Linked DNA regions of Lonchura striata. Each later gene encodes a partner of the first gene's protein in a complex. Links are inferred from orthologs where the notes say so. Each region holds a gene or a part of one and is shown in the gene's direction. Other genes may lie near its edges.

What was found.
Region 2: BCAS2 (region 1) and CDC40 share a complex: the UniProt entries of both Homo sapiens proteins name them as parts of the postcatalytic spliceosome P complex. The link is inferred for Lonchura striata from reciprocal best matches to the Homo sapiens genes BCAS2 and CDC40.
Region 3: BCAS2 (region 1) and RBM22 share a complex: the UniProt entries of both Homo sapiens proteins name them as parts of the postcatalytic spliceosome P complex. The link is inferred for Lonchura striata from reciprocal best matches to the Homo sapiens genes BCAS2 and RBM22.
Region 4: BCAS2 (region 1) and CTNNBL1 share a complex: the UniProt entries of both Homo sapiens proteins name them as parts of the PRP19-CDC5L splicing complex. The link is inferred for Lonchura striata from reciprocal best matches to the Homo sapiens genes BCAS2 and CTNNBL1.

Annotation. Positions count from the first base shown.
Region 1 is NC_134632.1:1,994,771-2,002,710, forward strand, and holds the start of BCAS2 (pre-mRNA-splicing factor SPF27), read left to right. Parts: upstream 1-4,550; 5' UTR 4,551-4,596; coding exon 4,597-4,689; intron 4,690-4,773; coding exon 4,774-4,866; intron 4,867-5,132; coding exon 5,133-5,203; intron 5,204-5,817; coding exon 5,818-5,979; intron 5,980-6,645; coding exon 6,646-6,696; intron 6,697-7,224; coding exon 7,225-7,305; intron 7,306-7,795; coding exon 7,796-7,925; 3' UTR 7,926-7,940. UniProt on the Homo sapiens protein: Required for pre-mRNA splicing as component of the activated spliceosome. Component of the PRP19-CDC5L complex that forms an integral part of the spliceosome and is required for activating pre-mRNA splicing.
Region 2 is NC_134605.1:69,081,003-69,088,762, reverse strand, and holds the start of CDC40 (pre-mRNA-processing factor 17), read left to right. Parts: upstream 1-4,482; 5' UTR 4,483-4,874; coding exon 4,875-5,069; intron 5,070-7,760. UniProt on the Homo sapiens protein: Required for pre-mRNA splicing as component of the activated spliceosome. Plays an important role in embryonic brain development; this function does not require proline isomerization.
Region 3 is NC_134617.1:6,222,339-6,230,026, forward strand, and holds the start of RBM22 (pre-mRNA-splicing factor RBM22), read left to right. Parts: upstream 1-4,475; 5' UTR 4,476-4,552; coding exon 4,553-4,606; intron 4,607-5,321; coding exon 5,322-5,375; intron 5,376-6,305; coding exon 6,306-6,335; intron 6,336-7,381; coding exon 7,382-7,514; intron 7,515-7,688. Other genes in the region: DCTN4 (dynactin subunit 4), read left to right, coding at 468-541, 894-948, 1,421-1,528, 1,933-2,030, 2,201-2,414. UniProt on the Homo sapiens protein: Required for pre-mRNA splicing as component of the activated spliceosome. Involved in the first step of pre-mRNA splicing.
Region 4 is NC_134619.1:8,136,090-8,143,735, reverse strand, and holds the start of CTNNBL1 (beta-catenin-like protein 1), read left to right. Parts: upstream 1-4,499; 5' UTR 4,500-4,613; coding exon 4,614-4,643; intron 4,644-7,646. UniProt on the Homo sapiens protein: Component of the PRP19-CDC5L complex that forms an integral part of the spliceosome and is required for activating pre-mRNA splicing.

The DNA of each region.
Region 1 (7,940 bases):
AAGCCCTGTGCTGACCCAGAGATGGGGCAACTGAGAGGTGTTTTAAAAACTTTTATTCCATTCTCAGTCTCATGTGAAGGGTGAGATAATGCAGTGTTATAATTCACACCCTCACAATCAGAAATTAACTATTTCCTAATTACAATACATTATAAATGTTTCTTGGCCTATCAGCTTTTGGAGAGTGTCCCTGTTGAGTCAGGAACGGGTAATAAGTGACACAGACTCTAGGTCAGAAGGCTAATAACCACTTTATTAAAAACCCATTCCTTTTTATACTCTGTTTCTCTACAGGTGGACCTGATTGGTCCTTTAATTAAAACACATCACCATTGGCTAATTAAGAACCCACCCTTTTGGTAAACATCTTATGAGGAAAACAACTCATTACAAAACACCACCTATGGATTGTTTTAATTCTTTCTCTCCAGCTCCCTCAGACCAATTCATGGGAAAGCTTATCTAGTGTTGGAACCCTGGATGCTGAGAATTTTAAATTTTCTGTGCTGAAAGGCACAGACCTGCAAGAGAGCACTGCATTGACCTGAGGCTGTGGGGAAGGCTTCCAAAATTAATTAGCAGCACTGGGATTATGGGTGTGGAGTTTGTTGGAAGTGTGGAATGTCACAGGGTGGAAAACTTAGAGTTTGGGGTTTTAGAATATAGAAATAAATATGAATCAAGATGGAGGTTTTAGAGCTGAGGCAGGTTGTTTTTCACCTTCTTCTTCCTTCTTCTCCATGGGTTTGGGTGGTGGTTTGTAATTGGACAGAGTAGTCCACAGTGCAGGCTTCAAGGGATCAGTTATTGGGTTAAAAAAGAAAATAATTTAGCTGTCATTTCTTAATTGGATAGTTTAGCCTCAAAAGACCTTGTAACGAGAGATAGTTGGCCATTTTGTGCCTGGTTAATGAAAGACTGCAGAACTCACTGCTGTGAGACTGGAACATTGATAGGAAATTATAAACACCTGAGTCTGAACATGAAATACCATCTGAAGTGCCTTCAATCCTGACCCAAATAGAGGTAGAAAAAGGAAGCAGAAAACCTACAATCTAGCTTTCTCTCTCTCTGACCAGATTGTCACCTTGTCTTGGTTTGGAAAGACAGGTGTTTGCTCAGAAAGGCAGGAGCACCCCCTGAAATGAAAAAAAAAAAAAACAAAAACATGTAAACCCCCTCTCTCTGAATTGTTATCAATTTGAAATTAAAGGGGCTCTCAGGCAAAGATATGGGAGCAGGAATAACAGTTCTTTTATTAAGGAAGAAAATAAAAAGACAAAATAAACAATGCAGTGAACCAAAACAACACTGGCAGAGTCAGAACACAACCTGACACCCTGTTGGTCAGGGTGTTGGCTGCAGTCCAATTGGGAATTATGGCTGCAGTCCTCCTGGAGTGGCAGGTGTGGTTCTGTTGGAGCAGTGTTCCTGTATGAAAGGGTGTAGTTCCACAGAAGGGTGTAGTTCCTGTAGAAAAAGATGTAGTTCCTGAAGAAAAGGGTGCAGTTCCTGTAGAAAAAGGTTTAGTTTTCCTCTGAAGAGGCAGCTGTTTCTCTGGGTAATCCAGTGCAGGAAAAGCCATAATGGTGTTCCAGAAACTCAAGATTATATCCAGGTAGAAATGCTCCCTCCGGGTGGAGCATCTCATAATGGGATGCTGTAACTTTTATCAGTCGTGGTGTGACATTCAGTAGCTCGTTATCAGCAGATGACTCCCCTGAGAAAGGACTGGTTGTGGAAGAGATAAAGAAAACTGCCCAATTAACAGAAGACAACTGCCTCACCTCTAACAGACAACAACTGAATGCATCTTGCCTCGCAATCTATGACACACATCCTCAGGAGAGGAATGACCAAAGTGACAAATGTCCTCCCCACAGGTGCCACGACCCTGAACTCCCTGGTCTCGGAGGCTTTTGTGCAGTTCTTCGTGGAGATCGTGGGGCACTACTCCCTGCACATGAACGTGACGGAGCAGGGCCAGCGCGTGTTCCAGCGCGAGCCCTTCCGCAAGTCGCACGGCTCGCGCACCGTGCGCCACTTCCTGCACTGCTTCATGGAGACGCAGATGTTCGCCGGCTTCATCCAGGACCGCGAGCTCAGCAAGAGCCTGGCCAAAGGTGATGCCCTGGGAAAGAGCTGGGCAGTGACGCTGTCGAGGCAGGATGGGAATGAATAGACTGATGGAGAAGGCTGTGAGAGTAAAACTCTGGTTTATTCAGAATGCACCGCTCTTTATACAGACAATTCCATTGGTCCCGAAGTGAGAACAACCACACCATTGGTGCAGAGTGCTTGACGAACAGTGATAGAACTTAACTATAAACAATGTGAACAATAAGGAGATAAACCTCTTATTTACATTATTTTCCAGCAGATTCCCAGCCTTCTGCCTGGTTAGAAACTTTCTGTTTCTCTCTTTGAATCTGAGACCCACAAGACAGAGCTAAAGAATAAAGTAGGGATTTATTAAAAGGATCTCCTCAATGGATCCACCTTGGCAGCACAAGAGCCCAGCCAGGGCTGCACCCAAGATGAACCAAAATGGTCATAAAAAATGGACAACTGGTCACGAGGTCTCTCAATTTTATAAGTTCTGCTCAATTTGCATATTGGAGCTAATTGTCCAATTACAGCTCCAGCCCATGAAGTCCCATCCTTCTTGTTTTTCTCTCTTCATCCCACGTTGTTTGTGCTTTTGGGCCTGAGATTTGGATCATTTGTCCTTGGTCCCCAGATAGTGAATTGTTTTGTCTCCCTGCTCTGTGCAGAGAGCTCACCATCCCCTAATATGGACCCCAGACCCACACACTAAAGCAGCACAGAATCTGAAAAATATAAAAGCCAAAACCTGAGGCATCAGTGGCATTGCCCTCTTGTTTCTTGTTTTGGCATCACTTTCTTGTTTCAAGTCTGCTCCACAGACTCCTCTCGAAGTACAATGCCACCTGCCTCTGCTGCTGGAATTCTGTCACATGGAATAGCCCCATGCCCTTCTAAATTACTCAAAAGAATTCAGTTTATAAAGCAAAGAATTTCTGCATCTCTGTCCTTTCTCCTTGATCCTGCAGCTTACACACACTGTATGCAGGATTTCCTTTTGTGGCCTTGTTAATCATGATGCCACGTGCTAAATGGTGGAATAACTGATTTGGTGAGTGATTTTTAATTTTTTCTTCTCTTTAGGCCTTTTTGAGGTCCGTGCCTTGGAGTATTTGGAGAGTATTCCAGAGACAGAACGAACTGGAATGAACAAAATCCTTCGCAGCCTTGGTAAAGGAACACCCCTTGCTTTTGCTCATTGCTTATTTTTTAAATTAATTGTAGCTATTGAATAATTCACTTGTTACAAAAGAGAGAAAGGCTTCTCCTTCTGTATCTGGGTTCCCTTGTTTACATTTACTCCTTCAGGGGACACTGAACACTGTGTAAGATTTTTCTTTTCTTTTTAAAATATTGTATCTTTAGATGAAATTTGTGGAAGTTGCTGCTCTGCATGCTTGTTCCTTAACTTTGGTCCTGGCTGGGGACATGCCCAGGGGACAGAAGTTTTGTCTGCTGGCAGAGGTGGTCATGTGTGGCTTTCCACCTTAAGTTCCTCTGCCTGATGAGTCCTGGAGTGTCTCCATTTCACAGAATCCCACAATGATTTGGGTGGGACCAGTCCTGCCATGGCTGGAACACCTTGCACTGTCCCAGGGTGCTCCAAGCCCTGTCCAGCCTGGCCTTGGACACTTCCAGGGATCCACCAGCAGCCACGGCTGCTCTGGGCACCTGTGCCCGAGCCTCACCACCCTCGCCTAAAGCTCCTAATGCTGTTTTTTCTCTGCAGGCAGTAAAATGAAATTCCTCCAGAAAAAGTGACCGGGCGCTGCTGCGGGACAGCGGCGGGAGGGGGAACGCGGACCCCGCCGGGGCCGGACCGAGCTGTGCCCCGGGAGGGCCGGGCCGGGGGCTCCGGGTGTGCGGCGGGTACATGGATCGATAACGAGTTCCATGGACCGATAACCAGCTCATGGACCAATAACCAGTTCATGGACCGATAACCACTTCCATGGATTGATAGCTGCTCTCCTGGATTGATAACCAGTTCCATGGACCGATAACCAGTTCCTGGACCGATAGCAGCTCATGGATCAACAACCGGTTCCACGGATCAATAACCAGTTCCACGGACCGATAACCAGTTCCGTGGATCAATAACAGCTCATCGATCCAACCGTTCACGTGTCTCCGTTCCTTAAGGGGGCGTGGCCTGGCGGGGAGGGCGTGGCCAGGGCTGGAGTCGCTCCGGGAGCGGCGGGACCGGGCAGGGAGGGGCGGGGCCACGTCGGGATCGCTCCGGGAGGGGCGGGGCAAGGCCTGGAATCGCTCCGGGAGCGGCGGGGCCGGAGCTGGAGTCAAACCGGGAGCGGCGGGGCCGCGAAGGGGCGGGGCTTGGCCTCGGAGGGGCGGGGCTTGTTCTCGGGGGGCGGGGCTTGGCCTCGGGGGGCGGGGTTTGTTCTCGGGGGGCGGGGCTTGTGCCCGAGCAGCGCACCGCCCCGCCGGGCGTGACGTGTTTGCGCACGCGCAGTGCGCGCGGCCGCGGCCAAGATGTCGGGCCCGGGGCTGGTGGCCGGGGATGTCGTGGTGGATGCGCTGCCCTACTTCGATCAGGGCTATGAGGCGCCGGGCGTGCGGGAGGCGGTGCGTGCGGGGCCGCGGCGGCGGCGGGGAGGGGCCGGGGCGGCGGGCGGGCTGTCCGCCTGCCTGACGCCCCGTGTGCGATAGGCCGCGGCGCTGGTGGAGGAGGAGACGCGGCGGTACCGCCCGACCAAGAACTACCTGAGCTACCTGCCCGCGCACGACTACAGCGCCTTCGAGGTGAGCTGAGGCGGCCTGGCAGCTCCCAGAGCCCGGCCCGGTGCCCCCATACCCCGCCTGGCCCCACTCCGTGACCTGGCTGGGACAGACCCTGCCTGTCCCCGTCCTTGCCCCGTACCCCTCTCGTGTGCCCGTACCCCTCCTGTGTCTCTCCGCCCCTGCCCCGGCTGTCCCTCCGCCGTTATCCGTTTGTGTCCTGTCTCCATCGTGCCCGCTTGTCTCATGCACTGTTCCGCCCCTGTCCCTCACTGCTGCCTTCCCCGCAGACCGAGATCATGCGGAACGAGTTCGAGCGCCTGGCGGCCCGGCAGCCCCTGGAGCTGCTCAGTATGAAGAGGTGAGTGGGGCCGGCAGGGCAGTGCCTGTCCCGGGTGAGCCGTGCCCGGTGTCCCGGGTGAGCCGTGTTCAATACTTCGGATGAGCTGAGTCTAGTGTCCCAAGTGAGCCATGCCCGATGTTCTGGATGAGCTGTGCTTCATTTGAGCTGTGCCCGGTGTCTCGGGTGAACCGTGCTCAGTGCCCTGAGTGAGCCGTGCCCCAGTTGAGCTGTGCCCCAGTTGAGCCGTGTCCCATTTGATCCATGCCCGGTGCCCCAGGTGAGCTGTGCTCCATGTGAGCCATGCCCCATGTGAGCTGTGCCCTGGGTAATCCATGCCTGGTGCCCCAGGCGAGCCGTGTCCCAGGTGAGCCGTGCCCAGTGCCCCGGGTGAGCCATGCCTGGTGTCCCAGGTGAACTGTGCTCCATGTGAGCCGTGTCCTGGATAATCCGTGCCCGGTGCCCCAGGTGAGCCGTGTCCCAGGTGAGCTGTGCCCGGTGCCCCAGGTGAGCCGTGTCCCAGGTGAGCCGTGTCCCAGGTGAGCCATGCCCGGTGCCCCAGGTGAGCCATGGCCCAGGTAATCCATGCCCGGTGTCCCAGGTGAGCCGTGCCCGGTGCCCCGTTCCCTTTGCAGGTACGAGCTGCCCGCCCCCTCCTCTGGGCAGAAGAACGACATCACGGCGTGGCAGGAGTGTGTGAACAACTCCATGGCACAGCTGGAGCACCAGGCCGTGCGCATCGAGAACCTGGAGCTCATGTCCCAGCACGGCTGCAATGCCTGGAAGGTGTACAACGAGTAAGGCCTCAGCTGCTCTGCTGAGCACCAAGTTCTGTGTTGATTTCTGTTTGTTTATTGGGTGTAAATCCGGTGGGGATCTCTAAAATGTAGCCTGGAATAGATGAAATCCTGTGAGAGAGCTGTGAGTGAAAGAGGAGGCTGATCTCAAAGCTGTCTCTGTGGCCAAGAAACAGAATGTGTTTAATACATCCCACTCTTGAATGTTGTGGGTTATTGTTGATGCTGGTGGGTGTTAATTAAGGCTAGTGATAGCCTGTGAAGAAATAACTCACTAGTGGAAATGGAGATGAGTTACTACAGATCCTGGGCTTAGCCTGGAGCCATAATAAAGCTGCTGCAAAAGCTAAGAAGAGGTTGTAGAGTATGGCTGCAGGAAGTACTGGGGTTAATTCAGAGAGAGAATGTTAATGTCCACTTTTGAGAAGGGTTGGCTGAGCCTTAGATAGAAGAGTAGGTCAAAGGAATGCCAAACGTAGCTCAGGGAGAAGGCAGAGGGTTCCTGAGCTCAGGAGAAGGGAAGCAGGTAAAGGATCTGCTGGCTGGAACAAGGTGCTGCAGGGGCTTGTTGAATCCTGAACTCTGAGAAGTTAAATGTCAGATGAAATGGGGCTGAAATTTTAGCAGTTGTGTGTTTTTAATGCTTTGCTTGCATTCTGTCATCAGGCACCTGGTTCATATGATAGAACAAGCCCAGAAAGAGCTTCAGAAATTGAGGTGGGTCATTCTTATTTATATTTTTGTACTGAAATTGGAAGTGAACCTTTCTCTCCCCCCAAGCTGTACAAAGGAAGATGTGTATGCTGGCTGCTGCCATGGTCACAGGGAAAAAGACCCAGTAAAAACAATGATGAAGAAATGTGACCCTTCCCTCCCCAGTCCCATTCATCATGTCTGTTCTACTCAAAATTCTGTGTTTGATTTGTTTAAATCTCTGCTCTGGATTTGTGGAACCCTCCCTGAAATGTAGCAATGCTTTAATTTCACTACTGATAATTTAGTGTGCAATTGTCTCTGTAAGGACATCTTCCCTGATGTTGGGTTTGGCCTTTTACTTTTATTTATCTCAGGGCTCTTTGTGAGCCCTGTACTGAGATTTGTCCATCTGGATGTTGTCATTACAGTCCTGGCTACACAAATATTTTCTGGCAGTACTTCTAGGGATTGAGTGTACTTGGAAATTAGCAACAGGTACTGCAGATGCCAAAGAAATGAGGAAATAAAAATGCATCCTTTTCTCCCCAGGAAAAACATTCAAGACCTGAACTGGCAGAGGAAGAACATGCAGCTCACAGCTGGGGCTAAGCTGAGAGAGATGGAATCCACGTGAGTGTTGATATTTCTCGGTTAACCCTTCCACAGCTTTCTCCATTGCTTGAAATTTACTTGAAATTCTTCTTCCACTTGAAATTCAGTGATCCTTTGGTGCTGCTGTAGGATACTGTTGCTTTGCAGGAAGTGTTTTAAGGTATTTGTAGTTTGGTTCCATATTATATTTACTGAAATTGAGTGAATCAACAGGTAGGAAAAGAGTGTATTTATTAGCTGCTTCAAATTTCCTAAATTGTCTTAAACTGTTCTTTATCTCAATATTGGCAGTTGGTGGATGAGTCTAGTCATTACATTTTTTGTGTTTTCAGGTTTAACAGGGTTAAAAATTATTCATTGTCACTTCGGTTGTTCCAATGACCATTGATGTCAACTATAGCATTATTTGGTGTTTCTGCTAGATTTGAAGGAATGGTTGTCTTTGATTTTTAACCAGAGGACGTTTACATAACACCTAAAGGCTCTTTTTATTTCTTTTCCCTTCCAGGTGGGTCTCTCTTGTCAGTAAAAATTATGAGATTGAACGAACTATTGTGCAGCTGGAAAATGAAATTTCACAAATCAAGCAGCAGCATGGGGAAGCAAACAAGGAGAATATCCAGCAAGACTTTCAGTGACTTTATCCTGACTTA
Region 2 (7,760 bases), on another chromosome or scaffold:
GTAGCTGAGGAGTTTGAAGAAGCTGCACAGCTCCCATCCTCTAGGGAAGAGCAACAAATGCAACAAATATTATTTAGTTTGCAAAGTCATCTGAAGTAAGTACAACAGTCTAAGTTGTTCCATTCTTATCCTATATCATTCTTTCTTTGAAACCACACCTTGTAAACATGAAATATATAGCATGTAATCTGTGTCAGACAACCTCAAGATCCCTTCCAAAAAACCTAAGGAGACTGATTCACAGATGTACTGGAACAGAGAACTCTTTTTGCAATCTGGCGCCTTGGTATCTTTCAGAATCCGGGATATAGTCCAAAATAACAAAAACTAGAAAAGGGGTATTATCACCCTTGCAGCAGTCAGAGGCTCCAAGGTAGTAGAAATAGCAGAGCGCGAGTTCTAAATTGTGCTTCAGTCTCCAAGCAGCTAAATTAGAGTACACCTTGATGCATCAGACACACAAGCAGGTGCTTATAAAAGGGCCCAATCCAAATGCAGTAGGAGTAACCTGATAAGACTTACATCATTATACCTTTTCTCAGCATATGAGCATATGAACCAAGGCAAAAAAACTTGATTTTCTTTCAAATGCTGTAGCCCACAGACAATAGAACTTCATATTTTCATTCAATCCTCTGTCTGATAAGTCATGATTTTTTTTCCTTCCTTTCCTCCAAACTGCAGCATTACAGATCTTGGTGGATGAGAAGTGAAAGAACATGCAAGTGGGCTGATAGCAATTTAGGAGTATTAAAACACAGAGAGGAAAAACGAGAATAAGCAGAATTATATGCATCATTTTTTGTGCGGATGAAAAAACCAGCTGAAAGCACAAGAGTGTGATATAAAGCATGCCCATCATGGAAATCAACAAAAAAAGAACTATGAAAGAAAGTAAAGGGAAAAAAAAGTAGGATAGAATACATTAAAAGCAGAGGGAAACAGATTTTGCGATCAGCTATAGGGAAGAAAAAGACTGAAGGAAAATTTGTGAAACATTGAGTTAAAATTTAATATAGTGTACCCCAAAAGGTGAAGCAAACCGGTCTCAAACAGGAAGTGTTGGGGGGGGGGAGTTGATGGGTGTTCCTCCACTTGGAAACTAGCTGGCTGAAACTAACCAAATTTGACAGAGGTGTAGAATTCTCAAAGATACCTATAAAATGCTAAGTTCATGAAATCAAGATGCTGTGATTGTCCTGACCAAGGGAAAGGATTCAGAATGCACTAACACCCTGTCAGACATTAGACAATCCACAAAAGGATGAGACTGTACTAAAAAAAAATTCCATTAGAGCTTACAACCACTCTCAGGGTTTAAAAAAAACCCTGAACAAATCCACACAAAAACCAAACAAAACAAAACAAAAAAACCAAAACAAAACAAAACAAAAAAAAAACCAAAAAAAAACAAAACAAAAAAAGGTAAAAGCCAGGCTTCTACTGCTCAAGGAACCACTCTTAAAATACTTCTTCCTCTTTCCTTTCACCAGGGAAAAATACATGGTAATACTTGGTACAGTATTTACCACCAGGAGTAACAACAAACAAGTGTTAAAAGGCCCACTTGATATGTTAACTGTCTCCCTTGCTGTACAAAGGGAGACAGTTTTTGCTTCTCTTGCTTTAATTTTCCAAAGGAATGTAAGTGACTGCAAGGAAAAGCAGCAGTGAAAAAGCTGGATGGAAAGCAAAGCCAAGCAACCCAAACCATCTCCCACCCACTACTTCAGTCTGCCTCAGAACCAGCAGCATCCAACGCATAACAACACATTTTATGGAACTCGGTTAAAAGGGAACATACAGCATACAGCAATCAATGAGCAGAGCTTTTTAGAAAAGCTGTATCATCCTTTCAGTTTGTTTTATACCAATCAAACTCTTTTTGAAATTACAAATATGCCATTGATAGTCAAGATAAGCCAGCATATTAGCTCAACACAAATGACCAGGAGCAACTCCTCAGCTTTTCTGACAAAACCAGATTTTAGATTATGGTGTATATTAGCCATCTACACTTTCAAAGCATAGTCAGGTCAGTTTTTCATACCCAGGAGTGACATTGACTTGCTTGCTGAAAATTAATCTTTGCTACTATTTAAGCAACGGGAAACTTCAGACAGTATTGCCCTGAATGCCTTCACATGTATTTGCTTATCTACTACTGCTGGTACCAGAAAGGCAGCTAATTTAAACCAGTAAGTGATTTTCATAGGTTCTACAACAAAAGCACCCAGAATCCCAGATGATTACATTTCACTGGCAAGCAAACTTGGATGCTTGAATACAACATAGTTGAACATACTTATGTCAGCCACCAAAGCTTTGTGACTCAAACACCTAAAATTCAAGGTTAACAAGGCAGAACTACTTTAATAATTTTCAACACAGTTCTCCAGATGAAATATCACACACTGGTTGCACAAATAGGCCTTGAAATTTTTCACTTTTCAGGAAGCACACCTTTAAACTTCAGACAATACCTATGATCTGCATGCCAAGAGAAAAAGGAATGCAGTCATATGGAATCAGTTAACAATTGCTGCCAATAAACCAACTGACTGCAGGGGAAGAGCCCCTTTTGATATTAATAAGCAGTGATTCATGTGAAGCTTCATATAGCTTTCCTTACTTACGGATTCATCATCCATAGATTTACCATTAAAAAGTCAGCTCATTACCATATGAAATGCTAGTTCAGTGCAGCATATTTCAGTTGTTGGAGATGCAAACAAAAGGTCTTGGTGTTGAAATGTGTGGGACTTTTACCTAAATCCTGTCCTAGCATACAAAAACATAGCATACCTGTGTCTAATAGAACAGATCTTAATGCAGCAACTTGCTCCACTCCACACTACCAACACTTTCTATATGTCCGCTAGATTTATTCTAGCCTTTTTTAAAAAAACAAATAAAACCAAGTGATACCTTCTCAAGCTAAGAAAACAAATATGTCAAACCGCGACCGCTGAGAAGGGTGGAAAATTCAAAGTAGAGCATTTAATCAGATTAAATGCCACTGTGTCACAATTAGATGTCACTGTGCGCTCACTTTAATTCTGAAAGCACATGCAGCTCGAAGGGAAGTCACGGCACTGTACCGCTCCAGGTGCAAGCGCGTGCAATGCACGCACCTGGCGTTACAGCCGGCCCTCGCCCGGCGCTCCGTCCTTCCCGTTTCTCCTGCCCGCGGGCGCAAAGGAAGGCGTTCGGGAGCGGGCTGGGAGAAGTTGGAACCTACGTGCTTCTCCTCGCTCCCGGCCATCCCCCGCGATCTCCAAGCCCTCCTAACAATGGTAGCAGTGTTCCAGCGGGCAGCTCTGCCCTGGAACCGGACCGAATCCCCCTGCGCCCCGGCCGGCGGTCCCGCCGCCCGTCCGCACCTCTGCCCTGGCCAGCCCCGGCCCCGCGGCGGGGAGGGGAGGGGGCGCCTCTCCCGCACCTGGCGGCGGTGACGTCACCCCGCCGCCCCCCGCCCGCCCGCGCGCTGACCCCGGCCCCGCTCCGCCGCCCCTTCCCCGCCGAGCGACCCCGCCGCGGGCACACGGGGCGGCCGACAGCGGGAGAAGGAGAGGGAAGCGCCGTGCCCCGGCACAAGTGCGGCCCCCTCCGCTCCCCCGCCTCGCAACACGCCCCCCTCATGCCCCTGCCCGCGGGGGCTGCGGGGAGACGGAGGAAAGCGGCTCCGCGGCGTGCTCCCCGCTTCCCTCCATCACACCCTCCCGCCGCCGCCCCCCGCGCGGGCGCGGACAAAGGGGAGGGGACCGACACCTGGCGAGCGCCGGTCCCTTTGTGGGGTAGGCGCGTCCCGCAGCTCCGCGGGCGATGGGGAGCGGGGGCCGGTCCCTGCCGCCCGCCCCAGAGACCGCGAGGGAAGGAAGGCAGGGGGGCGGGGGGCACTTACTCGCCTGCCCTCGCTGCGCACCTTCACGCCGCTCAGCCTCAGCCCCTCCCTCCGCGGCCGCCGGGCGCTGGAAGTTCAGGCGGCGCCGGCCATTCCCAGCCGGCGGCTCCGTGTTTCGGGGGGCGGCGGCGGGCGCGGAGCGTCCCCGGCGGCTTCACAATAGACACCGGGCAGCGCGCGCGTGTCTCTGTGTGTGTGCGCGTGTGTGCGCGCGCGGGGGGCGGGGCCTCTCCCGGCGCGCCGAGCCGGGCGGGAGGGAGCGGGGGGGAAGCGCTGTTTACCCGGCGGCCGAACCCGGCCGCCCCCCCCCACCGCCCGACGCTCGGGCTGGTCCATGCGCCGCCGCCCCCCACCCCGCGGGCGGGCAGGTGGTACAGTCCGGCCCGCCGGGCTCCCTCTCCCCGGCGCGGGTGGGGCGGAGTCCCGCCGCTGTGACGTAACAGAAGCCGGCTGTGTCAGTGGCCAATCAGCGCGAGGGGGCGGAGCTCCCCGTGCACGGCACGGGGCCGGAGTAGGCGGGAGCCCGCGGATGACAACCCGGGGTTTTGCAGGGCTGAGCTCTGCGCTCCGCTGCCTTCTGTTGAAAAGACAGCGAAGACGCTTTGTGTGGGGGAAGAAGCGGGCGGCTGGGGTTCTCCCCGGGAGGTTGAATATTTCCCCCCCTGCCGCCGCGCAAAGTGAAGGCGAGCGCCGGAGGGGAAACTTCCGAGCGCGGCGCCGCGTTGCATGCTGAAGCTTGTAGTCCTACTATGGAGTCCTGAAAGGTTAAGCACCATCAACAGCCAAGTGGGATGTTCTCCCATCAAATGCCTGTATATTCTGTAACCAAATTTAACCTTTAGAGTGTGTTTTCTATTTTGATAAGCCACAACTATAAGACGCAGCTCCACTCCTCTCCTGCGGGGGAAGGGACGCCTCGAGCCTTGAGGAGCTGCCAGGACCTGTCCCTCCCGTCATCCCCCGCGCCAAGATGTCGGCGGCGATCGCCGCGCTCGCCTCCTACGGTGGCTCTGACTCGGAGCCCGACTCGGAGCCCGAGACCGAGGGCGGCTCCCAGCGCTCCGCCGCCGTGCTCGCCAGCCGCGATGCCGTGCTGCACCTCCGGGCGCCGCCCGCCGCGCCCCCTGCCCTGCCCGTCGATGCGGCCCCGGAAGTAGCCGTGAAGGTAGGCAGCCCCCGGGCCCGGGCCGCCCGCCTGCCCGCGTTGTGTCCGCCCCGCCGGCCCGGGACAGTGCTGGGGGCAGCCCCAGGCTGGGAGAGCGGGACGGAAAGGGCGGGGTGCCGGGAGGAGTGCGTTGCCGTCACCTGGCCCTGCCCTGCCTTGCCTGGAGGTGTGGGGGTCGGAGCTGTGGCGGTGAGGGCGTGGGTCGGGGAGCTCCCGTGGATTCCAGCCGCGGGGGTCAAGTTTATCGAAGCGTGCTGACTCCATCTCAGAGCGTGCCTCGATTCCGATTCTTTAGATACTTGTTTGCTGTTCCCTATGTAAGGTGTTTTCCTGTGTGGCTTTTCCGGGTGATGGGGTGAAGTCGGTACTTCGTAGGGTGGCTGCTACTGAGTCGTCTTCGAAAGGGCAGCCCGAAAGCTGATTGGTGTTTGTGTTTCGTTATTGCCGGGGGAACCTTTATTTTCCAAGTTCAGTATCCCATCACTTTTGTGATACCAGAAGGGGAGTGGGCAAGGTGCTGGTTTAGCTTGGGAATTTTTTGTACAGGCAATAAATTACTAATCAAAAGCAGGCATCTTGCCGTGATAACTGTTGTTACTGTCCTGCTGTCACATGCTAGAAAAGTTTCTTGCCTCGTGACCAAGAGGTGGATGGACTCCTTCAGTTTGTTGTCATTAGTTAATTCCTGTCACAATTTATCATATTTTTTTGTAGATGTTGTGTTGTGTATAGTGACTACATTTGTTTATCTCTTAGAGGCTTGGAAATCTGGCTTCTCAAGTCACAGCATCCAGCAGGCTGTCTTGTGCACATTTGAAAAGAAGCGCCGATTAACATCTATAATATTTGAAACATAAACTTTAAGGAATTTAGAGATTTCAGAGGAGCTAAGATTTTAGTTAGAAATAAGCCTTACTAGAGTTAATTAAAATAATAATAATAAATGAGTAGGCCTTGATGAAGTTAGGAGTTAGTAGTTAACTAATAATTGATTGCTTGTCAGCACAGTGTTTAGTTAGCTGTGTTTATAATGAAGAATATAGAAACTGACAAATAGTGTTTAGGAACATAAGACAATTGTGGGCCTCCTCTGTTCTGAAACCAATTGAAGACAAGGAACGGGAGTTCTACCAAGAGTTCATTTGTCATATTTGCATTGAAAAAGTAGAAAGGTCAGAATGAGGAAGACTTCATTTACTTCCTCATTTTGTGACCCCTCCCCATGAAAGGGACCACCGACCCATTTCAAGGGACAAACTACTCATGCTTAATAGCTTTTGGAGTGATTAGCATACAAAGCGGGGAATGGGATGTGTGGGAACTCAAAATGTCTCTCAGACATTTTTAGAGGTTCCAGGCCTTGGTCAGAAGAATTTTAGACCCTGGCAGGCAGCTGAAAACAGCTGTGATTTTGAGTTTGAGCCATGGAATGAGTTACCAACTTTGGAGGTGGAACAAGCAGTCACAAAAGGTTAGATACTATAGTAGAAGTAATTACAAAGTTGAGGGGAAAATTTTTTAGTATTGTACAGGGGGATTTTTACTTTGTACATGGGGGTCAGAAGTTCTAAGATGGAGGAAAGTGGGCTGATCCTGTTCTTCCTCCTTCTTCTTCCTTGCCTCCATGTTCTTGGTGATGTTGGCACTCACGGATTGGTTTAGAGTAGAAAAGCACCTTGTAATATAGGTAGTAGGTATTGGGGGAAAACTATAAACATGTAATACGTAATATATCATATAAAAGAAAGCAGCAGCCCTGGGCGGGGGGAGAAAAGAAGAAGACAGCAAACAGGGAGGGTGTCAGGAGTGTGTGTGTGTGTCTCTGCCCGGGCCACTGACCAAGCAGCCGCAGCCCGAGAAGACAATCTTTTAGATAATTAACAATAAACTGCCTTGAGACCGAACAGCAAAAGCCTGCAGAGTTTTTCTTTGGAAGCACAAGTTGGAGGAGGAATTTCAACACCACATGGGAACCCAGAATAAGGCTGGGGTTCCCACAGGGATGTACCAAAATTATGAATATGTATTTGTATTTTGGGTATTCAATACTTGTATGGATAAAGACTCTGTAATCACCTGGAAGGTATGGTGTGTATTTGGGAGCTATCCCACACACTGCCCGGCATCAAATAAACATACACTTTCTAACTTTAAACTGTTAGAGAGTTTTTGTCCATCACAGTTGGATACCGGTACTAGATCAATATCCGTATTTTTTAATAAATCATATTTCCTGAGTGTTAGTGACAAGTGGCAAGTAGCACTGGATGTGCTTTCCACCACCCTTAAGCCTGTAGCAGCAGGTTTTACCTTTGCCTTGCCAGCACAAAGGTTTATGTAGCTCCTCAGGACTGGCAACTACTGGCAACCACAGCTTGCATTTTTGGCAGTTGAGAGTGTGAACCTGAAATGGTTGGTGTTCTCCATTGTAACTGTTTCAGCTGTTTCTAGTCCAGAATTTTGGCTTGTTAACTGTCCAAAGACTTACGTATGCTTTAAACAGGAACCTCACAGGTCCTCACTCTTGAATAGCAGGTTGTTAGCACATTCAGCTGACAGCATTTGGGCTACTGAAGTGTGCATATCAAATAAATCCCTAAGATGTTACTCCTACATGTATTTAATTTTATGGTTGAAATCTGCTGAGTCCTTGGTTCAAAGTACGTCATAGTTACATAAAGTCACATTTCT
Region 3 (7,688 bases), on another chromosome or scaffold:
CTCAGTCATACAAGGATATTTATTTATCTGGTCCCTAAAGTAATAGGGCAATATTATTGTAAGTATTTAAGATGCAGGATGCTTAACAAATGCATAGTATTTTCTCAGAAATAAGTAATGTCAGACTGATCCTGTGTTTGAAGAGTAGCCTATGAGGAGATCATAGGGTCTAGCTGCTTCATTTTTTTAATGGATTCTGGAGTATAGTTATTTGTGCTGCAGTCAGTGTCCAGCTGTTTTCAAGACTGTTCCAAGTCTTGTGTTTCTGAGGTTGTGCTGGTAGTGCTGGATATGGCATTTTGGAGTATCAACAGCTGAACACACTGGACATGCACCCCAGATAGTTTTTATCTGCTGTGCTGGAGGCTGTAATATAATGGCTAGTGACACAGCACTTGTGGCTCTGATTCTGCAGTGTGTGACTGCACATTGTCTTTTGGTGCTGACTTTAATACCTTTCTGTCTAGAAATGTGAACATAACCTGAGCAAACCAGAATTCAATCCAACATCTATCAAATTCAAGATCCAGCTGGTTGCTGTGTAAGTAGGAAATGGGGGCTGGGGACAGCAACTCCCTGCTTATGCTTAGTTAATGCCTTCTATTTAAATTTCCTTTGACCTGTTGTGGGATTGTATCATCCCTTAGGATCATGTAATCACCTTTTTTAATTATATTTAGCTTATCTGTAATAGGCTGGCTTGCTGATCTACTTAAGATTTCAGCAGTTTGACAAAAATACTGCATGCTGTGCCAGCCGCAGACTGTAGCAGGGTTTTGTAGGATTAGGGTTATGCTGCAAAATGACCCTTCATTTTTCCTTTTAGGAAAGCTCTAATAGCTTTACAGACAGCAGCAGAGTCCCTCACAGTCATTTGCTCTGTTATTTTGTAGTAACTACATCCCTGAAGTGAGAATCATGTCTATTCCCAACCTGCGCTACATGAAGGTCAGTAGCTTTTCCAGAAGTGTCTTAGGCTGAGACATAGCCAGGAGCTGTGAATGTGGGAATCTTTTAGGAAGATGACATGGTGTGATGATTGTTCCCTGAGGGCTCCACTCACTCCATTTAGAGGGTACAGGGTTTAAGGGAGTGGCCAGAGTAACACTGTATGTACTTGTCACTGCAGCAGTAGATTGCTGTGCAGTGTGACATCATCACTTGCCAATGTCTGAAGAATAAAAGGTGTGAAACTGAGATTTCAGCTAGACTCCCAAAATACATATTTCTTATATTAATTAAGAGTTTTGCATGGCATTGGTGCCTGTTTTATGAACAGGGGGTAGTCTCTGTCCATCCATTGAGAGGATGTGATGCAGTTTTTGAATGTGTTGATGAGTCAGAGAAGATGGAGATGCTTACAGTAACAATGAATTTTCATACAATTGCTTCTTGAACTTTGATTCCTGAATCTCCTCAGGAGAGCCAAGTCCTTCTGACTCTGACTAATCCCGTGGAGAACGTCACACATGTCACATTGCTGGAGTGTGAGGAGGGAGACCCTGATAACATCAACAGCACTGCCAAGGTATTGATTGTACCCTCCTGCTGGGTAAGTCCAAGCCTCTTCCAGGGTTTGCCACTCCCATTTGTCCTTCCACAGGACACACTTTTCATATGTCCTTCAGCCCCTGCTAACTGTGCTGCCTTTCCCTCCTTGGAGCTTAAATGACTGTCACAATTGTGACAGCAGCTCATTAAGTATTTTGAAATTGTGTCAGTTTGTTGATATCTAAAACCGAAGGGAGAAATTTATTATTTCACTGTCAGGATGGTAATCAAGCGGTCCTGAAGCAGGGAAAAGCTGAGGATGAATCACTTTTCTGTTAAACCACAGTGAAGCAGAACTCAGAAGAGAAGAGCCCTCTCCTGCTTGCAGTGCAGCTGATGATCAGTGCTGAAAGGCTTCTTTCTCTCCATGCTCTGTTTCAGGTGGCAGTTCCTCCCAAGGAGCTTATTCTGGCTGGCAAAGATGCTGCAGCAGAGTATGATGAGCTGGCAGAGCCTCAAGACTTCCAGGATGACCCTGAGTGAGTGTCCCGTGGGGATCCTCTCCCTTAAAAACTTGTCTCTTTGAGTAACTCCCTCTCCTCCTGTGTGCCTTCAGTGTGGTTTGAGTTCCTTTGAGAGCATTGTTCTGCTTAGAACAATGCTTTGAGAACTTGGCTGACCCAGTGTTCCTGTGTGTTCTGCCTTGCAGCGTTATTGCCTTTAGAAAAGCCAATAAAGTGGGAGTTTTCATCAAGGTCACCCCACAGAAAGAAGAGGGTGAAGTGACCGTGAGTTTCAAGATGAAGCACGAGTTCAAAAACCTCACTGCTCCCATCCGGCCCAACGAGGATGGTGACCACACGTCGGAGGTGATCTGGCTCACCCATCACGTGGAGCTCAGCCTCGGCCCCGTGCTCCCGTAGCGGCTCCCAGCGCTCGCTCCCGACGGCTGGATGGACTGGCACCCGGAGAAAGCACCTGGTGGAAGGTTCTGCCAGAGCTCCTTTGTGATGTGTGGGTGTGCCACGGGCCCGGCCAGCTGCCAGGAGGGGGCTGAGGCTGCCGTGGTTTGGGCTGGTTTGTTTTCTCTCCCCTTGTCGTAGTGCCCACTAACCACCACTCCACTTCCCCTCACTGCCACAGGCTAGAGTAACTTGCAGCACGTCTTAGAGCACAGAAGATCTTCCTCAACAGATGATTAGGGCTGAATTTGGATTTAGCAGCAGAAAAGAACCCATACTGTTTTTTTTCCCCGTGTCAGCCCACAAAGCTGATGTTACATACCCAATGAACAGCTTCTCTTTCACAAAGGGCAATGCCCTGACCAAACAAACAGTTTAAGGAGTGTCCCTGCCTTCTGCATTCTGGCAAGTTACTGCCAGCAGCATGATCTTTTCTCTTGGTTTTCTGCTCTGTCATAGAATACCTCAACTGTGGGGGCTGGGCCATAGGGCCCTACCCCTCTGGCCTATGTAGCTTGCTTAGCCAAGGTGGTAGAGGTTTTTTCACAAAGGAGTTGATCAGTTTGCCTTTAAACTTTAAACATAGTGTACTGTAGTGTTCATGGATCTGACTGGCAACCAAGCCCACCATCAGACCGCTGCATCTCAGCTGGATGTGCACAGGATGTGCTGAAAGCTGGGAATTCAGGTTCTGCTGCAGCTCTTGACTGAGGCAGGAATGCTCTGGAGAAGCAGGGATGCTCCAGAGAGGCTCCCTGGCAGAGCTCAGCTCAGTAAATGTTGTGTTGCTAGGGGTTGTAGCAATGAGGTTATGAAACGTGAAGCGTTAAGATTAGTTCTGGTAATTATAAAGCTACAGCAGTGATTTGGGTTGTAATCTTTGTTTTTCCAGTTAGGGCGGGTGGGAGGGAGGTGTAAAGGTGGAAACTCATTATATGTTAACTACACACACTGTACCAGAAGGTCATGTACCCCAGGGTATAATTTGGCTGCAGTCCAAGCTAAAATGAGTGATTAAGAGCTGTGTATCCAGGAGACTGGCTTACCAAGAAGTGCATGGCTGGTGCAGGCAGGTGAGATGGCTCTTCCTGCAGAGCATTCCCACTTCAGACGTTGACCTTTGTTAAACATTTCTGAGGGGCTTTGACGTGCTGCTGTGCTGGGAAAGGCTTGAATACCAGCCAGCCACGGCCGTGTCATGATGCTTGTGCCATGGCTCTGGCAGCCTGCATCTGCGAATCCTCTGCGTGGAGGGGCAGGATGAGGCTGCCTGCTCTCTGGGGGGGTGGTGCAGCATCCCAAAACATCTCCCCTAGCGCAAGGAACCTGCTGTGGTGTGCTGGAGGGGCTCACAGCTCACAGGCCTGGTCCCACAGCGGGTCTCTGCAGCGAGGCATCAGTTTACAGCTCTGTGTAGGTGACACACAGATGTACAGCATGAGTTAGAGACTTGTAGTTAGTAGTTAATGTGTAGTGCTAGTGCCTGCTGCGGCTTTCCCTGTCTAGATAACAAAGCACTTCACCTCTGTCCACAACTTCGGTTCAGTAGCCAAAACAGCTGCTGCACTTGCTACCACAGAAAGACCTCCCAGGAGCCAAGCCTAGAGCTGTGCCTGGGGCTGGGGTTTGCTGCAGGCAGTGACCTGCGCCCTTCTCGCTGCAAACAAAAGGTGCATTGGGTTGTGTCGCTCTGACAGCTGGGCGAGCTCTTCTCTCCTAGGCCATAGGAAAGGCATTGGCGTCTCCCTGCGTCTGTCCCTGCTCCGCCACAGGCGCCTGTTGCCTGATGCTTGACGTCGTGTAGTGACCTTCAATAAACCACACGTGGCTCTTGGATTCTTTGCGCTGGCTTTTATTCCAAAATTATCATTATTTAAACAAAACAGAGGGCGGAGCTCCCCCGTCTTTTCCCAATGGTCCCGTCCCCGTGCTCCCCCCGCCTCCTTTCCCGTGGTCTCGCCCGTGGAGCTCCGCCTGGAGCGCCGCCTGCCGCCGCGCGCGGTGACGTCACCGCTGCCTCAGCCCGCCTTTTCCGTCACGGCGCTGCGGGGTGTGGCGTCACTTCCGGCCGCCGCCTGCCGGCGCGGAGCGCGGCCGCCATGTCCACATCGCTGGGCTCCAACACCTACAACCGCCAGAACTGGGAGGATGCGGTGAGCGGCGCCGCGGGGGCCGGCAGGAGCGGGCCTGGCCCGGCGGGGCCCTGCTCCGCCGCGGGAGGGGCGGGGCGGCAGCGCCGCGAGGCGAGCAGAGCGCGGGGAGGCGGCCCCGGGGCTGGGACCTTCTCTGGGGACCCGCGCTGGGGACCGGCCCTGGGGACCGGCCGTCCTCCCTGGGGACCGGCCGTCCTCCCTGGGGACCCGCCCCCTGCGGCCGAGCCGCCCCGGAGGGCTCCACCGCGGTTCCCCGGCTCTCCTTTCGGGCAGAGGGGACGAGCTGCTCCCCCGCGCCGCGCTGCAGGGGCTGTGGCAGCTGCGGGGCCCGAGCTGGGCCCCTCGAGTGCCCCTGGCCGCGTCCCCTCCAGCTGGAGCCCTTCCCGAGTGGGCCCAGTGCATACAGTCGCTGCTGAGGCATCACGGGGGCCATGTCACCTGCTGCAGTCCAGGCACTGACAGCTTCAGATCTTAATAATCTCTTTTTATTTGCTTATTTTAAGTTTTACAACAAGCTGCAATAACAACCATAGTATGATTCTATATTAATTTCGGTCTGGGTCGTGGCTTGCAGCTCTCCCGGTGTCTCTGAATCCATTTGCATCTTTTAATCATCTGATGAGTTAAACTAGATCATTTTTCAGAGTGTAACTTGAATGCTGTTGTGATGGCAGAGCTTGTGACAAATTCCCAATTTTCTTCTTGCTCAATTCAGGACTTCCCTATCCTGTGCCAGACGTGTCTTGGAGAAAATCCCTATATCCGGATGGTATGTGCCTCTTGGAGCCTGCAGTCCTTCCCTCTCTCTGTGGTGGCCCTAAAACTGTGGGCTTGGGACTGAAATCGGGCTGGGTGCAGGAGGAGATGCTGTGCACACTCCTGAACAGCTGGTTCTGCACAGCAGGGTCTGGTTCCAGCTGCTGTTGGTGTGTAATCTCACAGTTAGGGTGTGAATTAAGAACAAATCAATCACGAAGGTGAGGAGATTACCCAGCCCAATGTCTGGAGTACAGGAAACAGTAGAAAATGAAATTTTTGTATTGGCAAGCTCCAACATGGACAGCTGTGAGGTGCTCAAATTCTAATCAGTGCAATTTCTAAAATGTGACAGACATGCACCTCTAAAGTCAAGTTAAAGGTAACTTAGGAAGGTAGCTTAAGTTCCTGCTTGTTTTCCTGGGTTTGCTTTGTGCAGGGTGAGTCAGTCCATGTTCTGTTGCTTTTCTCTGCCTGCCCGGGTTGCCCATGACCTACATTGACATTATCTCCTTCACATTCGTGTTCCACAAAGTTTGCTGAGGGAGATTGGGCTGTTCTTGTGAAACATAACCCTGATGCTACTGTAGGGGATATTTCTAAACCCGTTTGTTTCCATGAGTTATTCAATGTAGCATCATCTCGCCTTAAAAAGAGCTATTAATGCTCCTTTTCATTCTCACCTTTCATCAGTACAGGAGGTGGGACTTAAAGTACTCTGTTTTTAATTGAAGTTTCTAAACCAAAAGTGTATTGAGAGTATTTAGGATTTGTATTTTTTGTCCTGTTGACTGTCCAAGGTGTAAGCCAAATACTTAGGGATGAGTGAGTCTAAATGCAGCATAATTATGAAAAAACCTACTGTGTTACAACATCAATGATATGTTCCATGTTTTACGTTGAATTGGTGAAGCTTCATGGTTTTTTATTTTTTATATTTCAGACCAAAGAAAAATATGGAAAAGAATGCAAGGTATGTTTGTGTGTTTTGACGAAAGATAGTCAAAATCAGTGCAGATCTAGGAACAATTCATCTTAAAGATTAAAAACCTGTCAGCTTCAGAAGAGTGCTTATCTGGGTTAACTTAAAATGTTTATGTAACTACATACATTTTTAGGTTAGTCTGCTGTGCTTGTTAGAGTCAGTTGGTCCTAAAATAGTAAAATTATTGAGTAAATCCTGAGTCTGTAAACAAATCTTGATGTTTATCAGAATGAGGTTTTGCAAATACTGTTGTACTATATGTGAAGTTATTGCAGGATTTAAAATGATCCATGTCTTCTTGGGTGAGTTTGTTTTTTTTTACTGAGAAGTGCAAAATACCTGGAGTTTGGGTTTTACTATGTATGTTATTCATGTTATTTGGTGATTTGTGTTGTCTGCCCAAGAAATAAGCCACAATTATTTCCAAGAGCAAGAAACAATCAGTGTTGCCTGGACTGAGGGAAATTAAAGGAGGCTTTTACCCTTTTATCAGTTTCCATCTGAGGTAGTAGAGAAAAGGTATAATTTGGAGTCTGTACATATTGAGATTGTATTGTGTACTCAAGGTGTACATGCAGAGGAAGCAAATGCCTCATTCCATGAGATAAGAGGGAGCATCACTCTTCTGCACCAAAGCTGTCATAAGCTCTTCCAGGTTGCTGCTGTGCTGGTGCCTGATATACCCATTGTTGTAATTCATCTCTAGAAGCTCCACACTGACATCACCTGGAATCAAAGAGAATTTGTAGATCTTTGAGTAGATCTGCACTTGGATTATTGCATTAAATAAAAAGAAAAGCAGCAACAAAAAAAAAACCAACCAAAACAAAACAAAAATTTCTCTAAAACTTTTTGTTGTCAAAGTAAAACCCCAAATAAAAACAAATATTTTATGAGCTCCGAGTCTTAGCTTTAGGACAAAGGAGTTGTATTTATGGTTTGGAGAAGCTGGATGAGTTTGGAGTTTGTTTCCATGCAAGAAGCAGAATGGCAGCTCTGTGTAGAGTGAACCCAGTGCCACCCTTGTGTCCCAGATTTGTGCCAGGCCCTTCACGGTGTTCCGCTGGTGCCCCGGGGTGCGGATGCGCTTCAAGAAGACAGAAGTGTGCCAGACCTGCAGCAAGCTGAAGAATGTCTGTCAGACCTGCCTGCTCGACCTGGAATATGGTGTGTACCCAAAAACCTGATCCAAGACAGGGGGCTGCCCTCTGAAGTGGGAGCTGGTGAAATCACTTTAAATGTGTGCATGTTATTGTCACTGGACAGTCTTTGAGAAGGACAGGTCTTGGTGGTCATATCTCTTCAGAGGTTCAAGTGCAGAGTTGTTTCCCTGAGCAGCAG
Region 4 (7,646 bases), on another chromosome or scaffold:
CCCATGCCACCATTCCCCATGGCCTTGGGAAGCTCCTATGCTGGGGACATGCAGCAGCTGTTCCAGCTTGGGCAGAAAACCTGGGTTGTGTGGGGAGGGGGCAGCTTCCAGGACTTAGCTGTGGGGTGTCAGGGCACACCCAGTCCCGGCTGGGACACAGCCCCCGAGTGCAGGTTGATGCTGGCACAGGTGGGGATGTGCAGCCTCACAGATAGATTGGTAATTTGGAGCATGAGTGAATTCTGGGAGCATTTGCTGAGCTGGATAATAACGTGCCCAGTGAGCTGCATCCCATACATGCTGCCAAATTAAAGAAATTTTTTTCTCCTTTAATTTAAAAGTCACCGTTGGGAAATCTCCACTGGCCACAGCAGTGATTTCCCCTAGGCTGCCTTTCTGGAGAAATCTTTAATTTTGATTGTCACACTTTGTGGAGTTTATGTCAGGGAAGTAGAGCCATAAATAAGGTGCTGCTTCAGCACCCAGCCTCCAACTGTACCAGGACAGTGAATGGCACTGCCACAGGTGGGGAGCAGGGACAGCCTGACCACAGGCATCCTCTCCCCTTGCACCTTCCTCTTCCCTCCCCACTCCAGCCCCATCTACCCTCAGCTCAGTGCCTGGCTTCTCACAGCCTGATTTCACAGGTCAGCAACCTTCAATTTCCTGGGCCCATCCCCACCCCTCCCACCAAATGCTTCACAGGTTCATGAAAATCTCATTAACCATAACACCACAGCTGGGTTCCTGTGCTGGCACTGGAGCCCTCCAGCTCCTGCTGTGCTGTGCCCTGGCATCCAGCACCACGGGACCCCAGGACCAAGCACACAGGGATCCTGGCCAGGAGCTGTGCCAGGCTTTCAGGGTGGGAAGGTGGCACTGGAGAGGGAGGGCACAGGCTGTGTTTTGCTCCATGCTTACAGCTTCACAGCCCCAGCTCAGCTGCTATGGTGCTGTGGGGCTGGAATGGGTGTCATAGTCAGACTGGGGAGGTGGCAGCTCTCAGGGCTACCCCAATGCCTCCAGCTCGGGCAAGCAGCACACAACCCTGATAAGGGGCCTGTCCTCTCCCTCCTGGGGCCTGGGGAGGGCATCTCCCAGCAGCTTTTGAGTAATTAAGAAGCGGGAAGGGATTCAGGCAGCTCCCTTCGGCATGGAGCTGGCACAGTAGTGCCGGGCGAGCTCAGGAAAGGTTACACCATTTGCATTTTACCCTTCAGTAATTCCAACACTTACGGGTGCAATTAAGCAGCAGCCTGGTGTTATGAAGCTATCAGGGCGGAGAGACCTGAATTCCAACGATCTCCGTGTGCGTGCCTGTCCCAGACTGCTCCATCTGTCTGCGGTGACACCGCGCGATGCCGGTGGGTCACAGGGACGGGCTGTGATTCCATCTGATGAACATTTTTCCCTTGCTGGCACCCAGTTTTGGTGCTCTCGGAGGCTGAGCACACGGAGGGGAGTGAGTGTTGGGATGGTGGAGCAGGTCCAGGCTTGTGCCATACTCGTCACTACAATAAAGCATCTGATCTGACGGTGCCTCGAAAGAACAGCCCCTGGCCTGCTTTGTTTGGTGTGTGACCCCCTGATGTGGCAGGGCTGGATGGACCACGATGCCTGTGGATTCTCTGCCGTGGAACAGGGTCTCCTCAATGTTCAGCAGCCCCTACCCTCTGTGGGAGGATGGGGGCTCTGTGGCCATTCTCCTTTCCTGCTTCAGTGGGACAGCAGGCTGGGAGAACTGCTGCCTTTCCCTTTAAGCATCATCCCTGCTTAATTCGATGGTTTTGAGTCCCGGCTCATGATTTCTGCAGCAATTTGGGCTGAGATTTCTCTCTTTCCCTCCATTATCCACTCTGATTAACTCAGCTGGCCCTGTCAGCTCCCATTCCGGCGCGGGAGCCCTGTGAGAGCCTGTTAAAATGCATGAGCCTGTGGCAGTCGCTCCACTGCCCAGCGAGGCTGAACTGAGGGAGGGGGCTGCAGGCAGCAGGGTGGTGGGGCTGGGGACTGTGGGGGTCCAGGGACAGGGTGCAGGTGCTGTGGGGGTGCCAGTGTCCCCCTCTGTCAGTATGGGGGTGTCCTGGCCAGAGTTGAGCCAGGGGGAGACCCTGTGGGGTGCAGGACCCAGTCCCCCCCACATGCCAGGCTGTTGGGCAGCTGAATCTTCCCCCATGCAAAGGCTCGTTTCCCATTGCAGCTCTGACTTGTTCCCTTTTTCTCATTTTAATAAAGACGAAAGCATCCGGAAACGCGGCTGCACCCGCCAAAGAGCGAGATCTGACATAATTAAAAAGTGGCTTCAATCAGGCTGTTTTCCTAATGGTTTGTCATATCAGCCCGCACGGCCCTGCACCCCCTGTGCTCCCAACCCCCTGAGGCATCATTTACATTTCTTAATAACCCCTCATTAATATTCATGACGTGGGGAGGGTAATAACGGCTGAGTGCACACCACTAATTCAATTTCAGCGAGCCTCTGTGTGTTTAGTTAATCACTGGGGGACCTGGGTTACTCAGTACAATTATTTATTCGGAATTAGATCTCGAGGCATCTGGATTGAAACCTGAACTCGGAATAAAATTAAACCAGGATTCTCCTCCTCTCCTCCTCCTCCCACCTTCGCTCCTATCCATGGTTCTGAGCATCCCCTGCAGCCCTGCTTTGCTGGGATGAGGATCTGGCGTTTCCATGCTGAGACCATTGCATAAGCCTCACCTGCAGCTGCTGCTGGGTCCTGGCTCCTCTGTGCCCCTCCAGGGAAAAGTGTCAGCAAAGGCCTGGGGACATGGTCAGCCCTGAGGGTGGCACCCCACTGCCTGTGGAAGTCAGGAGTCCTTGTTCTCCTGACCAAGCCAAGTCCCAGGGTTTGCTCCAGCCTATCCAGAGCCTTCAGCCTCTTATCCAGCTTTGTTGCATGTTCCACCTGGGAGAGGCTGGTGCCAGCCCCAGCACCACTCAGCTTCTCGTCTCCATCCTTCATTTATTTGAGAGCTTTTTTAATACTTTGGTTTTGCTCCTGGTTTTGCTTTTTAATTCAGTATTTTGTCCCTGTGCTCCAACTCACCTTATTGGATAAAAATTCTGTTATTGCATCCTGCCCTGTAGGACTGGATGAGAACTGAGCGGTGCCTCAGTTCTTCAAATTCCTGCTTTTGTTTTTTTGAGTGATCCCCCGACCTTTGAGTCCTGTCAGGGAGGTGAATTGAACATTTTCCATCCCTTTTTTCATCGAGGCGAACGCTCTGGCTGTGCTCAGGTTGGGGCTCTGCTTGTCAGTGATGATTTTTGGCTTCCCCCAGCTCCTCCCAGAGCTGCTCCACTCAGTGGGAATGAGGTGCAAGGGAAGCCCTGGGGCAGGAGCAGCTCACCATATTCTGTGTCTGTGGGTGGTCAGTCCTTATCCCCAGTGCTCTCCATGTGTATGCTACACCTGCTTTTTGTGGTTATCCCTGGGTGGGGGGGGGTCAAGCTTCCCAGTAGCTGAATCCTGTTCCTAGTATGTGCCAGTACCCCTCAAGGGTCTCAAATTGTGCAGGTTTCACAGCTGGGGAATTATCTGAGCACTCAATATCCCAAAGCCAGATGAGCTAATAATTATCTTCTATTTATCTCATCTTTAACATGCAGATTTGTTGAGTTAATTTTGCCATGACCGATCTCCTATATTTTCTTGAAACAACAGGGGACGCGAGGGACTCCTTCAAAAACATTATATATTTTTTTAATTTTCTGAGATTCCTCAAACCAGACTCCCGCTGAGATAACTGCGTAAGAGCTGCGATCATTATAAAAAAATTATTTTAGCTCAAAACTGTTTTTTTTTTTTAAAGCATAGCTGCAATAAATTCAGTAGGATTTTGGCCGAGTTGCCTCTCTCCTAATTATTCTTATTTGTTAAATTGAGAAACGCCTCAGTCTGTGCGGGGTTCTGCATCTTGTGGAATTGCAGGGCGGCTTGTCACCAGCTCGGCAAGCGGAGGGGCCGCCGCTGCCGCGCTGGGAGCCGGCTCCCGGCGTGTTTCACGGTGACAACGGCTCCCGAGGGGCTGGGAGCGGCAACAACCGCGGCAGCCTTTGGAGGTGGTGGGAACGTGCCACAAAAGAACGCCGATCCCGCGGGCCCGGCGGTGCGGGGCGTCGCCTCCCCCGCCGTGACAGCGGCGCCCGGCCCGGGGCACAGCGGGGACGGCAGCGCCGGGGCCCGCCTCGCCCGTGGCGAGCGCCCCTGTCCCCGGTGGTGTGTCACGCTCTCGGCCTCTCCCCGCCCTGCGGCACCGGGGAGGCACCGGGGAGGCACCGGGGAGGCACCGGGGAGCCCCCGAGCCGCGCCCCGGGCCCCGCCGGCGGCCCCTCTCCCCTTCGCGACAGCGCCGCGCTGCTTTACGGCAGTGTGGCGCCTCCCCGTCTCTCCCTCCCCGGCACGGCGTCCACCGCCTCGCTTTCCGGCAGTGTGGCCCCTCCCCGCCTCTCCCCGGCACGGCGCCCACCGCCTCGCTTTCCGGCAGTGTGGCGCCCCCGCCGCCCGGCCTGCGCTGCCTGCCTTACGGCAGGTGTCGCGCGGTCCCGGTGGTTTGCGACAGGCTCCCGGTGGCGGGGCCCGGTGGGTGCGATGGACGTGGGGGAGCTGCTCAGCTACCAGGTGAGCTCGGGGGGCTGCGCCCTGCTGCGGGTGCCGCGGTGCCCTGCGCTCCCGTGGCCCCGCTGCGGCGGCAGCGATGCTGCTCCAGCTCCGGTGCGGCCGCGGGCCCGGGGCGGCCGCCGTGCGGGGGTCACCGGCCCCACTCGGTGCACGGGGTCTGGTGAAAGTGTCGCTAAGTTCTGGGGGTCTCTCCCCTTCTTGTGCGCGGCGGTGCCCGGTAGGAGCGGGTTCCCGGGGCTCGGCAGCGTCGCCGGTCTCGTTTCGGCACAGATCGGTGCCCGCCGGGGCTGCAGCGAGGCCTCTCCTCCTTCCGTGGCTGTTCCAGCGTCTCTTTCTCCCTGTTGTACGACAAAACCTTTTCAATTTCATTTTTTATCAAAATACGTTTTTAAAAGTTTTCTTTATAGAAGTTTTCCTTTACTGGGTGCGTTTCGTTCCCTCGCCCTGCGTTCACTGGTGGCTCGCTGTGTGCAGGTACCGAGTTTTGATTTATTGTCCCAGGAGCAGATTTCCCTGTGGAACAGGGAATGAGGGTTGGAACTGCAGGAACATTTGGATACCTTGGCTGGGATAATGCCGGGCTTGGCTTCAGTTCTCAGCCCGGCTGCAGCCGTGGCGTTTCCCTGGGTGAGGAGAACACCCCGAGGCGGTGTAAGAGTGGCCAGGTGTGCTCCCGAGCTGAGAGCGCAGAATTCCTGGTGGAACTCGGTGCCCTCCTGCTGTGCCTCATTCCGTGGGGCACAGAGATGAAGTGAAGGGGGTGTCTTGCTGTTCACTCCATGTTTGTGCTTTGGGAATGCGTTCTTTGGAGATGCTCAGGGAAAAAAGACAAGTTGCTGTTGGGTTTGAGAAGTTTCTCAGCAGTTTTCCCAATGGTATTGAAGTTTCTGGGGCAGTCTGAGAGCTCCACTGGATTCTTCCTTGATAATCTCCAGGATGTTTCCTTCTGTGGATTGCTCTGTCTCAAACATCCTTCCACACCCTGCTGCATCCAACAGCACAGCTCTGCTGGTCTAAGGTCTACTCCACTTCTGTATTTCCCTATCTTCTTCAAATGTGATTTTTCAACATCAAATTAGAATTTTCATTCCTTACATTCCTTTGAGTCTTTGGCCTCCTCCACCCCATCTGGGGCTTAACAATGCCATCCCTTACATGTCTGGGATGCAGGTTAAGACACAGAAGTTTAACAGGTAAACCTGAATGAATTTTCTCATTTTTTAGCCAAGTTCCAGTTTGGGGTTTTGTTGGTTGTTTTTTCTCTTGCTCTCAGAATGTGAGCTCCCCAAGGTTCCCTCCACTCTGGAGGGGAGTGTCCATTCACTTTGCTTTGCTCACTTGGATTTTGTGCAGCTTTCCCTTGGATGAGCTTTCAGCACGGTCAGGGGGTGATTGCTTGTGACAGTGGGGGCTCTATTCTGTCGAGGTAAAGAAATGCTGCTTAGCTGCAGGGTATCTAAATTTTAATTTCATTTCTTGCTGCTAAAATTGTTCTTAGCTGTGGGGAAAAGCATTCTGCAGCTTTCAGCCAGCTGCTGAAATAGTTCCTGAAGGATTTGTCCTGGCTCTGTGTGCTCCTGGGCAGCACAGCTGAATGCAGGTGCTTCTTGTGTCACTAGCTGAGGTGGTGCTTTAGTGAGCTTTGGAAGCCAGTGGTGTTGAATTTAGACCTCCAGAACTGGGGCAGTGGTGAGTACAGGTGAAAGAAGTGGAGGAGCAGAAGGCAGGCAAATAGCTCTGCTTCTGAGAAAATGAGATTCCCTTCTGTGAGGGCATTTCCTGCTGAGAGGTGGGGAAAAATAGTTGGAAGCAGCAGATTTCACTGCCTCCCATCCTGTGGGTCAGGCTCTGCCTTTGGGGAGGGTGGCTTGAAGAAGATGGCCAGGGGAGGGTGGCTTGTCAGCTCACCCAGCAGCTCCTGGCCCACTCCAGCCCTGGATTTGGGAGCTTCCCTGCTCTGGGCTGGCTCAAGGTCTCCTTGGCTGTCCTTATCGAGGGATGGTACCGGCTGTCGGGGAGGTGGAGTGGTGCCTCAGCTCTCTGATTTTAATCTCTTGCTGCAAATGAGTTGGTCTTCTCAACCTCCCTCAGCACAACCCAAAATAATTGCTTTCCTCTTACACTATTTTGAATTTTCTCCTCTAAATGTGTAATCTGTGCCCTTGCTTCAGCAAGAAGATGTTCTCCCTCAGAGCCAAACTTGGCGTGGAAGACTGCAGGCACCGTGCCACCAATTCAGCACCAAGTGTCTGCCAGAACAGGAAAAGAAACCTCTTGCAACAAAAAATACAATTAAACAGCACCTGGCCATTTATACAAAGCTCAGGAATCCATAAACTTTACGTGTTGCTGCAAAACAGTTGCAGATGGTCTAAAGTGATGATTAAATATTGCTGCTGTTTGCCCAGATCCTCCGTGTTTGGTCTCTGATTACAGAGGGTAATTAAGAGGATAAAGCCAACTCCGGGGCTATTCAGAGTCTTCTTTCAGTTGTCTTGGGAGGGAATAAGGGACATTATTTGAATTCTCATTAAAGGCAGATTTCACCACCGTGGGTGATCATTGCAAAGCGCTGATTTTTTGCTGGAATGTCAGTAAAATCAAGTAGCAGAAGAAGCAGTGAGGGATGGGGTGAGATGTGCCTCCACCCGCTGGGCCATCTCCCCGTGCTCTGTCGGGGCTGAGGGCGGTGTGTGCAGGGATGGATCTCTGTGCATCCACGGGGGCACATCATCATTTCTGCTGCTGGTACGGATAATTTGCTGTCAATTTGCAATGTAATGGATGCATCTGATGGTAGGGGCAGCTCAGCTGAGCTGGTTGTTGACTGCTCACAGAATTATTATCCCAGTAGCTGCTCTCCTGGCGGCAGTTAAAAAAAGGAGCCGACATTGGCTCAGCTGTCTGCCTCATCCCTTGGCTCTGCTCCTGGAGTACAGCCCCATGCTGCCAGAGCTGGCTTGGTGCTCTCACAGGGTGGCAAGTCAATCTCTAGTTTACTTC